Danio rerio: one gene and its partners. The protein of the gene in region 1 binds, or shares a complex with, the protein of each later gene. Links are inferred from orthologs where the notes say so. Each region holds a gene or a part of one and is shown in the gene's direction. Other genes may lie near its edges.

Region 1 (3,655 bases):
TATATTTTGTAAGTAATGTTGTTGTTTTTTTCAAAGCTTAGTTTGCTTTAATTCTTGTGTTTTGCTGTGAAAATGCATGATCATAAATATCTTATAAACCACCCTACAAGCTAAATCCTGTAAGTATTGAATAAACCTAAATTTACATTAAAGTGTTGTAAACGAAACCCTGTGTAAGTTGCTCTATTGCGTGCAGTGTCACGCTTTTACCAGCTCTGACACTGTGTTGTAACAACACACGATACGATGCGTGCAAAAATGTATATTTTCCATATTACGGATTTTTTTTTTTTTAAAACAGCAGCGTGCAAAATTTATGTTAATATGCTGTTGTTAGTGCGACGTTGCAGAATTTAATAATATATATATATATTATTTAATTCTGCAACGTCGCACTAAAACAACAGCATAAACTTCAATGACTTAGATCACCTCAGCTACTGATTATGGGCATTTATTGCCATGCTGATAGTTAACTTCATGTCTTGAAAATTAAAATGACTTGCAGACGATTTGCAATGGGTCACGGTTCGGGCTTTGATTTTCAAACCAATAACATCAGTCACTCAGCAGCCTATTAATAATGTTAAATATTTATTAAGTAGACCTTAATAAATGACCAAAAGCCTTCAGCATTTCATTGGGAGTGCAGTGGCTGGTGTTTAAATGTTTCTGTCGTGTTGCGCTGCTTTTGCTGAGGTCAGAATATTTGCTTGTTGCTGCAGTCTTGTTGTTAGGACATGTGAGGCTGATGTGTAATGAATCTGGATGTTGTGCTCTTGCAGGAGGCTGTGTGGTTCCTGTCCAACATCACAGCAGGAAACCAGCAGCAGGTTCAGGCCGTCATTGATGCCAATCTGGTGCCCATGATCATTCTGCTGCTGGATAAGGTGAGTGATGACCCGAGCTCTCTTTAACAAGTTTACCACCCACACTTCAGCTTTAGTAGTACTAAACTAATAATATTAATAATAATTTCTTATATTTAAATATATAGCGCTTTTCTGGACACTCTAAGCGCTTTACATTTTGGGTGAACGATCCTTTTGTATACGTGTAAAGTTCGCTCATCATTTAGTGACCCTTGATTACAAAGTAGAAAAATCAAATATCACTGAGGTCGATGGTTGCAGGTTTCCAGCTTAAGCCTATTTTTTTTTAGCGTTCACAATATTGACAATACACACAGACGTGACTCAGACTAATGCAACAAGTAAAATCCTACATGACTTCATGCTTTAACAGGCAGTCAAGCAGGTCGCACACCAGAAGCGCCGCGACACGGTGCGCACATGACAGTTTAAACTATCACACACCAAACGCGCACATTGACATGATATTTAACATGAAACTAATCAGATGGCGCTCTGTGGGCTGGATGAAATATGAACTGCTTCGTAAATCGTGACTGGGTGGCGCCGGTGTGTGTATAGAAATCGGTTTAGAATTCTAAAATCCATGGCGCTGCGTGGTGCTGTGCATCGCCGAGAAGTGCTTCTGGTGTGCTTCCTGCTTCATAGAGTGAACCAAAGCGCATTGGTGCCATTATAATGTATTAAATATATATTTTTTTTAAGAATCGTGATTTCTCGATTTGATTCAAAATTAAATCGTCTTAAAACGTAAATTCGAATGAATAAAAAAAAAAAAGGGAAAAATCGCCCAGCCCTACCTTTACTTGATTCAAACGTCCAAGGTTTTCCTCAGTTGAACACAAAGTAGAAAAATCAAATATCACTGAGGTCGATGGTTGCAGGTTTCCAGCTTAAGCCTATTTTTTAGCGTTTAACAGAAAAATATTTGGAATCAATCAGTTATTAGTGAGGAAATGTAATTTTTGGGAGAGCGGTCTGTTTAACGTGGGTAGAGAATGTAATTGTTACTCCTAAAATAAAAACTTTAATATTTTTAGGACCCAGAGAAGCAAAAGTTAAGACTTTGAGGTGTTTCTGCTTCACTAAACCAGAGGTTCTCAAAGTGGGGGTCGGGAACCCCCGAGGGGTCGCGGGACAATGAAGGGGGGTCGCCTGGTGATTTCCAAAAATCAATTAATTTTTATTAAACCTTAAGACTTACTGTATTTCATCAATAACTTACTGAAGAGAAAAAAATAGTCGTTTATAGTTACTATAAACTATATAGTTACTATAGTAGCTTATATTTAATAGTTCTATTGGATTGTGACTTCTTGGGTAATTACATTATACTAAAGACACAGCAATACTGTCAGATGCAGCAGATTGATTTTATAACACCAGGTTAAACTTTCTAGCCCATTTACAGCACTGACATACATTAAAAAAACAAAGAATAGACTTGGGTCTATTAGTGTGTGTGTGCATCATTGCATACAAGGTTTCTGTATTTATAACCACCACCTCAGAGAATATTGGGGGTCACGAGTCACTGGCATTGTCCTTTTGGGGGTCGCGGGCTGAAACGTTTGGGAACCCCTGCACTAAACTATGAGAATTTTAACTGAGCTGAATTTTTGGCACATTTTAATGTTACCGTGAACATGGCACTGCTGTTGTTGAGTCTCTCCATGTAATGTTGTTGTCTCTCGCAGGGAGATTTTGGCACTCAGAAGGAAGCAGCGTGGGCCATCAGCAACCTGACCATCAGTGGCAGAAAGGATCAGGTGTGTGTTCAGGTGCACAAGCATGCGTCAGGGTTCTTGCACCTTTCCCAATGTTGAATATAAGCACTTTCTGGGTGCATTTTCAAACTCTTCCTACATGTCAACTTGCATATTTATAATTCATCCATACTTCATCACATTATTTTAGTTACTATTGTTTTATTTCAATTCTACTATGTTAGAATTAGTGCTTGGCAAAAATTAATTGAATCCAAAATAAGTTTTTCTTCACATAATATGTGTGGGTGGCACGGTGGGTCAGTGGTTAGTACTGTCGCCTCAAAGCAAGGTCGCTGGTTCAAGTCCTGGCTGAGCCGGTGTGCATTTCTGTGTGGAGTTTGCATGTTCTCCCCGTGTTGGCGTAGGTTTCCTCCGGGTGCTCCGGTTTCCCCCATAAACACATGTGGTATAGGGGAATTGAATGATCTAAATTGGCTGTAGGGTATGGGTGTTTCCCAGTACTGGGTTGCAGCTCGAAGGGCATTCGCTGTGTAAAACATTTGTCAGAATAGTTGGCGGTTCATTCTGCTGTGGTGACCCTTGATGAACAAAGGAACTCAAGTCAAAGGAAAATGAATGGATGAATAATATGTGTGTGCATATTTTATTACATTTCCAAGCACTTTATCCAAAATCAAAGCACTTTTCAAACTTGTTCCGTTCCAATTTGGGCATTTTCAAGGATTTCCAACAAGCTGAAGTGTTAAACACGGTGTGATCTTATCCTGTAGGTGGCGTACCTGATCCAGCAGCAGGTGATTCCTCCGTTCTGTAACCTGCTGACTGTGAAGGATGCTCAGGTAGTGCAGGTGGTTCTGGACGGCCTCAGTAACATTCTCAAGATGGCCGACGATGAAGCGGAGACTGTGGCCAACCTCATCGAGGAGTGTGGAGGTGAGCAGACGCTCGTGTTTGTGTGTGGAGTAGCAATCAGTGTTCGAGTATCTACTTGTACGCTAAATCCTAGTGTGTATGTTTCGGGAGATGATAGCACGTGTTGTTTGAGTACTTTTA
Region 2 (3,655 bases), on another chromosome or scaffold:
TCCCTAATTTCTGTTTAAAGGAGAGCAGATTTCTCCAACACATTTCTAATCATGATAGTTTTAATAACTCATCTCTAATCACTGATTTATTTTCTCTTTGTCATGATGACAGTAAATAATATTAGACTAGATATTCTTCAAGACACTAGTATACAGCTTAAAGTGACATTTAAAGGCTTCACTAGGGTAATTAAGTTAATTAGGCAGGTTAGGGGAATTAGGCAGGTTATTGTATAACAGTGGTTTGTTCTGTAGACTGTTGAAAACAAATATAGCTTAAAGGGGCTAATAATATTGACCTAAAATGGTGTTTAAAAAATTAAAAACTGCTTTTATTCTTGCCGAAATACAACAAATAAGACTTTCTCCAGAAGAAAAAATATTATCAGACATACTGTGAACATTTCCTCAATCTGTTCAACATCATTTGGAAAATATTTAAAAAAGAAGGGGGGGGGGGGTGAATAATTCTGACTTCATCAGTATATACAGTTATTAGTAGGGCCAGACAGATTCTTCTGACATCTTTTACTATTTCTGCTGAGAATTTAGTAAAAATTCTGCAGATTTATGCGGAAGGATTGTAGTAGTATCGTAACTAAAAACTTAATATATGAAGTCAACAAATAATGCATTTTAAACTTTTATTTACTGTTTACTATGCAAATCCAATTAGATCCACTTGTTTGGTAATCAAAGCAAGTCTCTCATATAATAGATCTAAGACAAGACAGCTGTATTGTGAATAAATCATGTCAATATTTTAATACTCGTCAACATTATTACTGAATTTATTTAAAAACTGAATAAATATAAGATTACACACATTCACACAAGTAACTAAATAGACTCAGCCATGGGCTGGAAATCTGCAGATTTCTGCGTGTGCAGATTCCGTGTGGGCCTAGTCCTCAGTAGTAGTGTCAGTAGTAATTAGTAGTATGTATAAGTTACTAGGGCTGTCAGAATTCATTGTTTCTTCAATGCACTGAGAATCAGACGTGAACAGTGTGTTATTGGTTTAGTAATAATCATAACCGCTTATTATATACTGACGTCATTTATCACACATGCGCTATATGGCGGTAGCTTACTATAGCGAGGGAGGAGGCTGTGAGTAATTAAAACTGCTTCAACAACTTACAAAGCAGAAACTGTGCACAATTGACTGCTTGTGAGTTTGCTGGACAGTCTGTCACTGAGAGGGAAGTACAACAGAACCCAGCTCTCTCTCACTCTCTGTAGTCCCTTTGACCTGCTGGCGTGTTCGTGAGGTTTTGTTTTATCAGACCCTCTAGTGTTTCGCGAATTTATTTTATTGAAATCTTTTGTTTATTTATTTATTCTTTGCTAAAGTCATCCCTCAACCAATCTCCGTCATTGTAAGCTGCTGCTGTTTTGTCTGCTCTGTTGCTCTGTTTGTTAGATGTTTGCTCACACTTTATTTTACAGCGCGTCAAACGCACAATTTGCGCCACAGGATGCCTAATCGCATCTTTGCATTGACTTCACATGTAAATCACTCGCACTTAATCTGCGTCTGTTTACTGCACATGCTGCAAAACGCCGCCACCTGGCTTTCATGTACTGTAATGATTGTGAGGGCGCAGGTGAGACGCCGTTTTTCGAGAGACACTTAAATTGATCTCGTGTGCTGCGTATGCAACATCTATAAGTCATGTGACACACTCAATTGCAAATACAAATATAATTTGGTTTGGAATTTGTTGTTTAATAAGATTTAAATTTGTTTTGATTATTTTGCGTTTAAATAAGAATTTTGCAGAATCGCAAAAATGTGCGACTTTTTGTTGATTTTTGCGTTGGATTCAGCGATCACAGAATCGCACAAAACTAGGGGGTCTGTTTTATTTCCTCTCTCAGCTGCTACAACAATAACAGTACTTGTAACGTAACGTTACGACCATGTCTGCCGAGCGAGTTTTCTCCACCGCGACGCCGTCTATAATGGACCAGCTGATCGCCGCGGCCGATTAACATCAGTGTCCGTGTCACTGTTTGCTGAACAACACCAAAGTCGCGCTGACCATTAGAGCCAATCGCAGCCCTCTCTGTTGAGCGTGTGATCAATCATAGGCATTTAAGAACTCGATCAACAACGCTTCAAAAGCAAGCGGGATCAAAATTACATTTGTTTATTTTTGTGTCATTCTGTATTTGTGAATGACATTTTACAAACACATAACTGTTAATCTGCAACCTGGATTCTCTCTCTCTCTCTGCACGTGTGCATGTGTGTGTGTGTAGTTCCTGACGCAAAGATCTGGGAGGAGGAGTTCGACCTGAACGCGGTGCGTCTGTGTTTCCAGGTCTCCATCACCCTGAGCAGCGGAGATCTGTTCCCTCTGGAGCCCGTCGTCTCTCAGCCGATATACGACAACAGTACGACTGTGTGTGTGTGTGTGTGTGTGTGTCTGTTTGTGCATCTGTATGCGTTTGTGTGTATCTGTTTGTGTTTCTGTATGTGCATCTATGTGTGTGTTTGTGTGTGTGTAACTCTGTGTTTGTGTCCTGCAGGAGCTCCTAACACTGCTGAGCTGAAGATCTGCCGTGTCAATAGAAACTCCGGCAGCTGTCGAGGAGGAGACGAGATTTTCCTGCTGTGTGATAAAGTACAGAAAGGTGTGTGTGTGGCACTGCAGAGACACACACACACACAAATACAGAGACAGACACGGATACTTAAAGACAAACACACACTCTCAATCAGACACATAAACACACAAAAGCACAGAGACACACACACAGCCTGTTTCAGCATCGCTCATATACTGTCTCACTGAACGTTTGATTCATTCATATATTTATTTATACTGATCATTTTCAGTATTAATATTGTTCATAGGGCTGGGTTAAAATGCTGTGTGTGTGTGTGTTTCAGAGGACATTGAGGTGCGCTTCTTCCTGGACTCGTGGGAGAGTAAGGGCTCGTTCTCTCAGGCTGATGTGCACCGGCAGGTGGCGATAGTGTTCCGCACGCCGCCCTACTGCGACACTAACCTGACCGAGCCGCTGCGTGTCAAGATGCAGCTGCGCAGACCATCTGACCGCGAGGTCAGCGAGCCCATGGACTTCCAGTACCTGCCCTCAGACCCGGGTGAGCTTTATTACAGTGTTGCCATTACATACTGCATTAATACCTAGTTATTACAGTGTTAACTAAGTGTTATTACTGCATTATTATGGTTAATTAAGTATTATTACTGCATTATTATGGTTAATAAACTGTTATTACAGCATAATTACTACATTACTGAATTATTAGTGTTAATTAAGTGTTATTAATGCATTATTTCTACATTACCGCATTATTACGGTGTTAATTAAGTATTATTACTGCATTATTACTACATTACCGCATTATTACGGTGTTGAGTGTTATTACTGCATTATTACTACATTACCGCATTATTACGGGGTTAATTACTTGTTATTACTGCATTATTAATACATTACTGCATCATTACAGTGTTAATTAAGTGTTGTTACAGCATTATTACTACATTACCGCATTATTACTACGTTATTACTGCATTATGACATTATTACAGCAATATTATGGCAATATTACTGTGTTATTACTGCAATGTGTACGTGTTTTACAGCATTATTCCATTATTACAGCGTTATTACT
Region 3 (4,356 bases), on another chromosome or scaffold:
TCCAGCATAATTGAAATTCTATATAAATAAATAAAAATAAAAAACAAAAGGAAGACACCAAAAACAGATTTATATTAGCTTACGATAGACAGAGCTTTTACATTTTTTTTTACAGCTTTAAGAGACTTCATTAGCAGAATAAGTTTGTTGAAAAATACTATGTATAAAGGAGGAGTTTTTGAACATTCTACATTTGTGGATAAAGAATTTACCATTAAAAATAATAAAATTAACAAGTTGTTAATTAGTTTATCACCCTTTTCAAAATAACAAATAATTTATTTTCCATTCAATGTTATCAACATATTATTTTTAGCAGAATAATCAGAAAAAGATCTTTCTCAATATCTAAAAATTTGGAAAGTAACACGTTGGTTGGGTATATTTATTGTAAAATTTTTAAATTAATTTCTCTTACTTTATTTTAAATGCAAAATTTGTATGGTAGCAGCCATGCTTTTCTCCAATTGACCTCCCATAATAACGAATTCCAATAAAATTTCCCTCTTGGAATAACTCTATTTTTATCATCAAATACTTGCCTAATGTATTTGTTAGTACATTTTTGTCAAATATATTTTTACGATTTATCAGGAAATTACATTCTTTATTTTATATCTTATAATAGGTCAAATGACTGTACATGTACCATTAAATTAAGGAGTCTCGAGGGGATATCTTGATCACTGTTGAAAATTCTTTAAATTTAACAGGAAAATTGAACTTAGATAAAAATGATTTATATGAATAAATCCTTAAAGATTAATTAAATATATCACTTACATGTACCAATATTTTCCAACAATTTCTCCAAATATAAACTCTTTTCTTTAACAGTAACTTATTCCAAATTTTCATTCTGTGTGGAGAAAAAATTATACACAAAGCAAAGTTTCCAAGCCGAGAGTGCTTGCTCATGAAATTTAGATCATTTTACTGGTAATTTTGATGGTGAAAAATTGCAAGTCAAAAGAAACTTGAGACCATCCACCTTCTTGAAGATACTGTGTGGAATAAAAAACAAAAACATCATGAATTAGGGTCAACGGCACATTTTTTTCATCCTAATAATCTTGAATGTATTGTTCATAGCTATATAATCTAACATCTCAAAGCCTCCAAATAACATCTCAGCTTTTTTTCATTTATTTTTTTTATTAAACAACAACTAATATACATTTTAAACATGACATCCAAAAAATACAAATGTAACTAATAACATAAAATAAACAAAAAATAAATTACATAAAATAAATAACGAGACAATTCAACATAAAGATCTTTACAATTATATTATTTTAACCTATTTAATTGACAATAACTTTACTAGTCAATTAACTTCAGCTCCTTTGCCACTATAATTGTATTTTGACATTTTTAATAATAACATCTCTGCTAACACAACCCTGTCGACACTATTGCGTCATTGTAAAGCGCGGGGGATTATGGTTAGTCAGCGGAAGTAAGATGGCGGAGGAGACAGCTGAGGGTAAGTGATGTTTATGTCTGAATTACTGGTTAAGCATCCTCCGTGCCCGTTTATTTACTATAACGACTCGCGTTATGTGAGAAACTGTTTGGAGTTGATAGATTTATTAACGTAATAATGTCGTAGCGTTCAAACAGACCTGCATAATCAGAGATATGACTAATGTTTACATACAATCACATTATTTATGATTGAAAGTGTAGTGCGGGTATATGTGATTCGGTTTATAAATAATAGGCTTAACGTTATGTAGTTCCTTTATTACACTAGGCAGTGTTTATTGTTCAGGTTTATTTCTTGTAACGCACGTTATAGTGGGTGTGTGAGTTTGAAACATCTGCGTTTGAGATAAGAGGCATTGCTGTATAGTACGTTATGCTCTTTCCAGCTTGAAATGTCAACAGTAATGTGACTTTGAATGCTATAACTCTTCTACTATACCTTTATCTTAAACCAGATGATAATTCATTCGTTGTTCCAACATTACCAGAGCATTACAAAACAACAAGTGTACAACAATTCTTTACATTTGAGGTAAAGTTGGCTTTATATTCGCACATTATGTCTTCCCTGCTGAAAAAGAAACAGCCTAAACCTGCCTAAGCTGGTTGACTGGTTTTAGCTGGTCGACCAGCCTGGTTTTAGAGGGGTTTTGACCATTTCCAGTCTGGTTTCTAGCCTGGTCTTAGCTGATCAGGCTAAAAAATAACCAGCCAAAGCCAACCTTAAAGAACTGGTTTAAGCTGGACATAGCTGGTTTTGGCTAGGCTGGTCAAGTTGGATATGGCCTGGCCAGCTAAGACCTGGTTGGAAATGTCAAAACCCCCTCTAAAACAAGGCAGACTGGTTGAAGCTGTTTTTTTTTTTTTTAGAAGGGTTTCTCTTTAATAATATTATTTCAGAATCAGAAAATTATTTTTTTTTGCAAATTCTAAAAAGGGAAATTGTTTTTTTTTTCAGCCAAAGATGATCAAAGTAAAACATTTTCACAGTCAAATAAATAGTGGCAATGTTGTTTTTAAAGTCATACCTACAATTAAGATCGAATATTCAAAGTAGCATGTCAAAATTGGCTCAGAAATGAACAAATGTGCAAATATAAAACCAACTTTACCCCGATGTCTTTACAGGCTGCAACAGATAATAACATTATCTGTATGATTATCAATAACATTTCACAATTTTACTACTTGTACTGTATTTTTGATCAAATAAATGCAGCCTTGGTGAGCAGGAGAAGCTTGATTTAAAACATTTAAAAATCCTACTGACCCCAAACGTTTTACAGGTAGTGTATATTTAGGACAAGGATCACAGTTCAGCATAAAAATACTAATTAAACATTTTTACTTTTCCACTTTTTCTTGTCAGCAATAAGTTATTTTTTTTTTATTATTAATTAAAAGTTTTAATGATTATTTATTCATGTATTTTGTATATTTTAATATATATTGTGCATGTTTTCTTTCTTTTTTTTCTACATAAATGCATATTTTAAATGCAACTTTAATTCATTTATTTTCCTTCGGGTTAGTCCCTTTATTCATGAGGGGTCACCACATATTTAGCATATGTTTTACAAAGTGAATGCCCTTTTAGCTGCAACCCAGTACTGGGAAACAACTATACACATTATATATATATATATATATATATATATATATATATATAACCATTCACATCCACAAGAGGTAAAATAGGAGGGTACTTCCAGCGGGATTCCTCTCCATCAACTTGATAACATTAATTGGATTCATAAATTTCTCTAAACTACTGCCTCGATCAACACAAAACAGGTGTCATTAGAAAGCTTAGATTTTGGTTTCTATAATGCATGTAGTGATTTTGATTAACTTCAGTGTAGTGCTGAGTTAGTTGCTATCAAACAAGAACAAAGCAATCGTAATTTATGATTCTGTGATGTGAAAAACACCATATAGCTCTGAAAGTCTTGTCATATATCATTTAGATATATAAAAAGGCATATTTGTTTGGGGTGTTGTCTAAAATTGAGCGAATGCTTGTATGCGATGTTCCCCCTGACCCATATGTCAGTAATATAGATGTCATTTATGTGATGTGACTTCATTGTCAGATCATGGTAAATCATACAGTATTCACAACAGATTTTTGTAATTGAGCCTGGACTCACCGCAATGTGAAAGTAAACGTCACAAAACTGTCTCTAGTCGTGGAAAATCGAACATTATTCATAGCAGATTTACCCGATTACTAAAGCTTAAGCTCACCATAATCCATATTCATCATGAAGACCGCACAGAAACACACATAGTTAAGTACATACTATTGATGAATTATTGTTGTGGTTTTTCTACTCGTAACTTTGTGAAACATGCTCCGATCCTAATAAATTACACATTGTTTAGCACTAAAGTAACGATGCTCAGTCAAAGAGATTTGAAGATATATCATATTGAGTTGTTGTTTATGTCGTTTATTATAAAAACAAAGCCAGATTTTCTGTCATGCTTTGACTTGCAACTTCATAATACTTGCTCAGATTGTAATAAGTGGCACAAGTTTTTTTTTTATACAGCAGATTTAACTTAATTCCTTTTTTGTATCGAAAGTTGCCATTCATTCATTCATTTCGGCTTAGTCCCTTTATTAATCTGGAGTCGCCACAGCGGAATGAACCGCCAACTTATCCAGCACGTTTTTATGAAGCGGATGCCCTTCCAGCCGCAACCCATCTCTGGGAAACGAAAGATGCCATGTCATGTCAAATTTAAAAGCTATACTTTTTTTTTCTTCCTATAGACGAACACTGTTTTTACTTTAACAACGTCTCAGCCACTATGTATCGAAAAATGATCATTAACGCGATAATAATACATGCTATATGC

The links.
Region 2: the proteins of kpna4 (region 1) and rela are in contact, whole or in part, in a crystal structure (PDB 7LF4), measured with the Homo sapiens proteins. The link is inferred for Danio rerio from reciprocal best matches to the Homo sapiens genes KPNA4 and RELA. Residues at the interface, in NP_002259.1 of Homo sapiens: Lys231, Asp271, Arg306, Asn310, Val312, Thr313, Gly314, Thr315, Asp316, Thr319, Lys344, Glu345, Trp348, Ser351, Asn352, Ala355, Glu387, Trp390; in NP_068810.3 of Homo sapiens: Lys301, Arg302, Lys303, Arg304, Thr305, Tyr306, Glu307, Phe309.
Region 3: the proteins of kpna4 (region 1) and ranbp3a are in contact, whole or in part, in a crystal structure (PDB 5XZX), measured with the Homo sapiens proteins. The link is inferred for Danio rerio from reciprocal best matches to the Homo sapiens genes KPNA4 and RANBP3. Residues at the interface, in NP_002259.1 of Homo sapiens: Arg96, Leu99, Ser100, Asp102, Arg103, Pro105, Phe133, Trp137, Thr140, Asn141, Ala143, Ser144, Gly145, Thr146, Ser147, Thr150, Glu175, Gln176, Trp179, Gly182, Asn183, Gly186, Asp187, Asn219, Trp222, Val225, Asn226, Arg229, Asp261, Trp264; in NP_015561.1 of Homo sapiens: Asn114, Tyr115, Cys116, Pro117, Pro118, Val119, Lys120, Arg121, Glu122, Arg123, Thr124, Ser125, Leu127.

What each region holds. Positions count from the first base shown.
Region 1 is NC_133190.1:1,641,216-1,644,870, reverse strand, and holds part of kpna4 (importin subunit alpha-3), read left to right. Parts: intron 1-785; coding exon 786-890; intron 891-2,569; coding exon 2,570-2,641; intron 2,642-3,372; coding exon 3,373-3,535; intron 3,536-3,655. UniProt on the Homo sapiens protein: Functions in nuclear protein import as an adapter protein for nuclear receptor KPNB1. Binds specifically and directly to substrates containing either a simple or bipartite NLS motif.
Region 2 is NC_133182.1:1,073,496-1,077,150, reverse strand, and holds part of rela (transcription factor p65), read left to right. Parts: intron 1-2,268; coding exon 2,269-2,403; intron 2,404-2,538; coding exon 2,539-2,643; intron 2,644-2,902; coding exon 2,903-3,118; intron 3,119-3,655. UniProt on the Homo sapiens protein: NF-kappa-B is a pleiotropic transcription factor present in almost all cell types and is the endpoint of a series of signal transduction events that are initiated by a vast array of stimuli related to many biological processes such as inflammation, immunity, differentiation, cell growth, tumorigenesis and apoptosis.
Region 3 is NC_133186.1:6,422,010-6,426,365, forward strand, and holds the start of ranbp3a (ran-binding protein 3a), read left to right. Parts: upstream 1-1,451; 5' UTR 1,452-1,467; coding exon of another isoform or gene 1,468-1,489; intron 1,490-4,356. UniProt on the Homo sapiens protein: Acts as a cofactor for XPO1/CRM1-mediated nuclear export, perhaps as export complex scaffolding protein. Bound to XPO1/CRM1, stabilizes the XPO1/CRM1-cargo interaction. In the absence of Ran-bound GTP prevents binding of XPO1/CRM1 to the nuclear pore complex.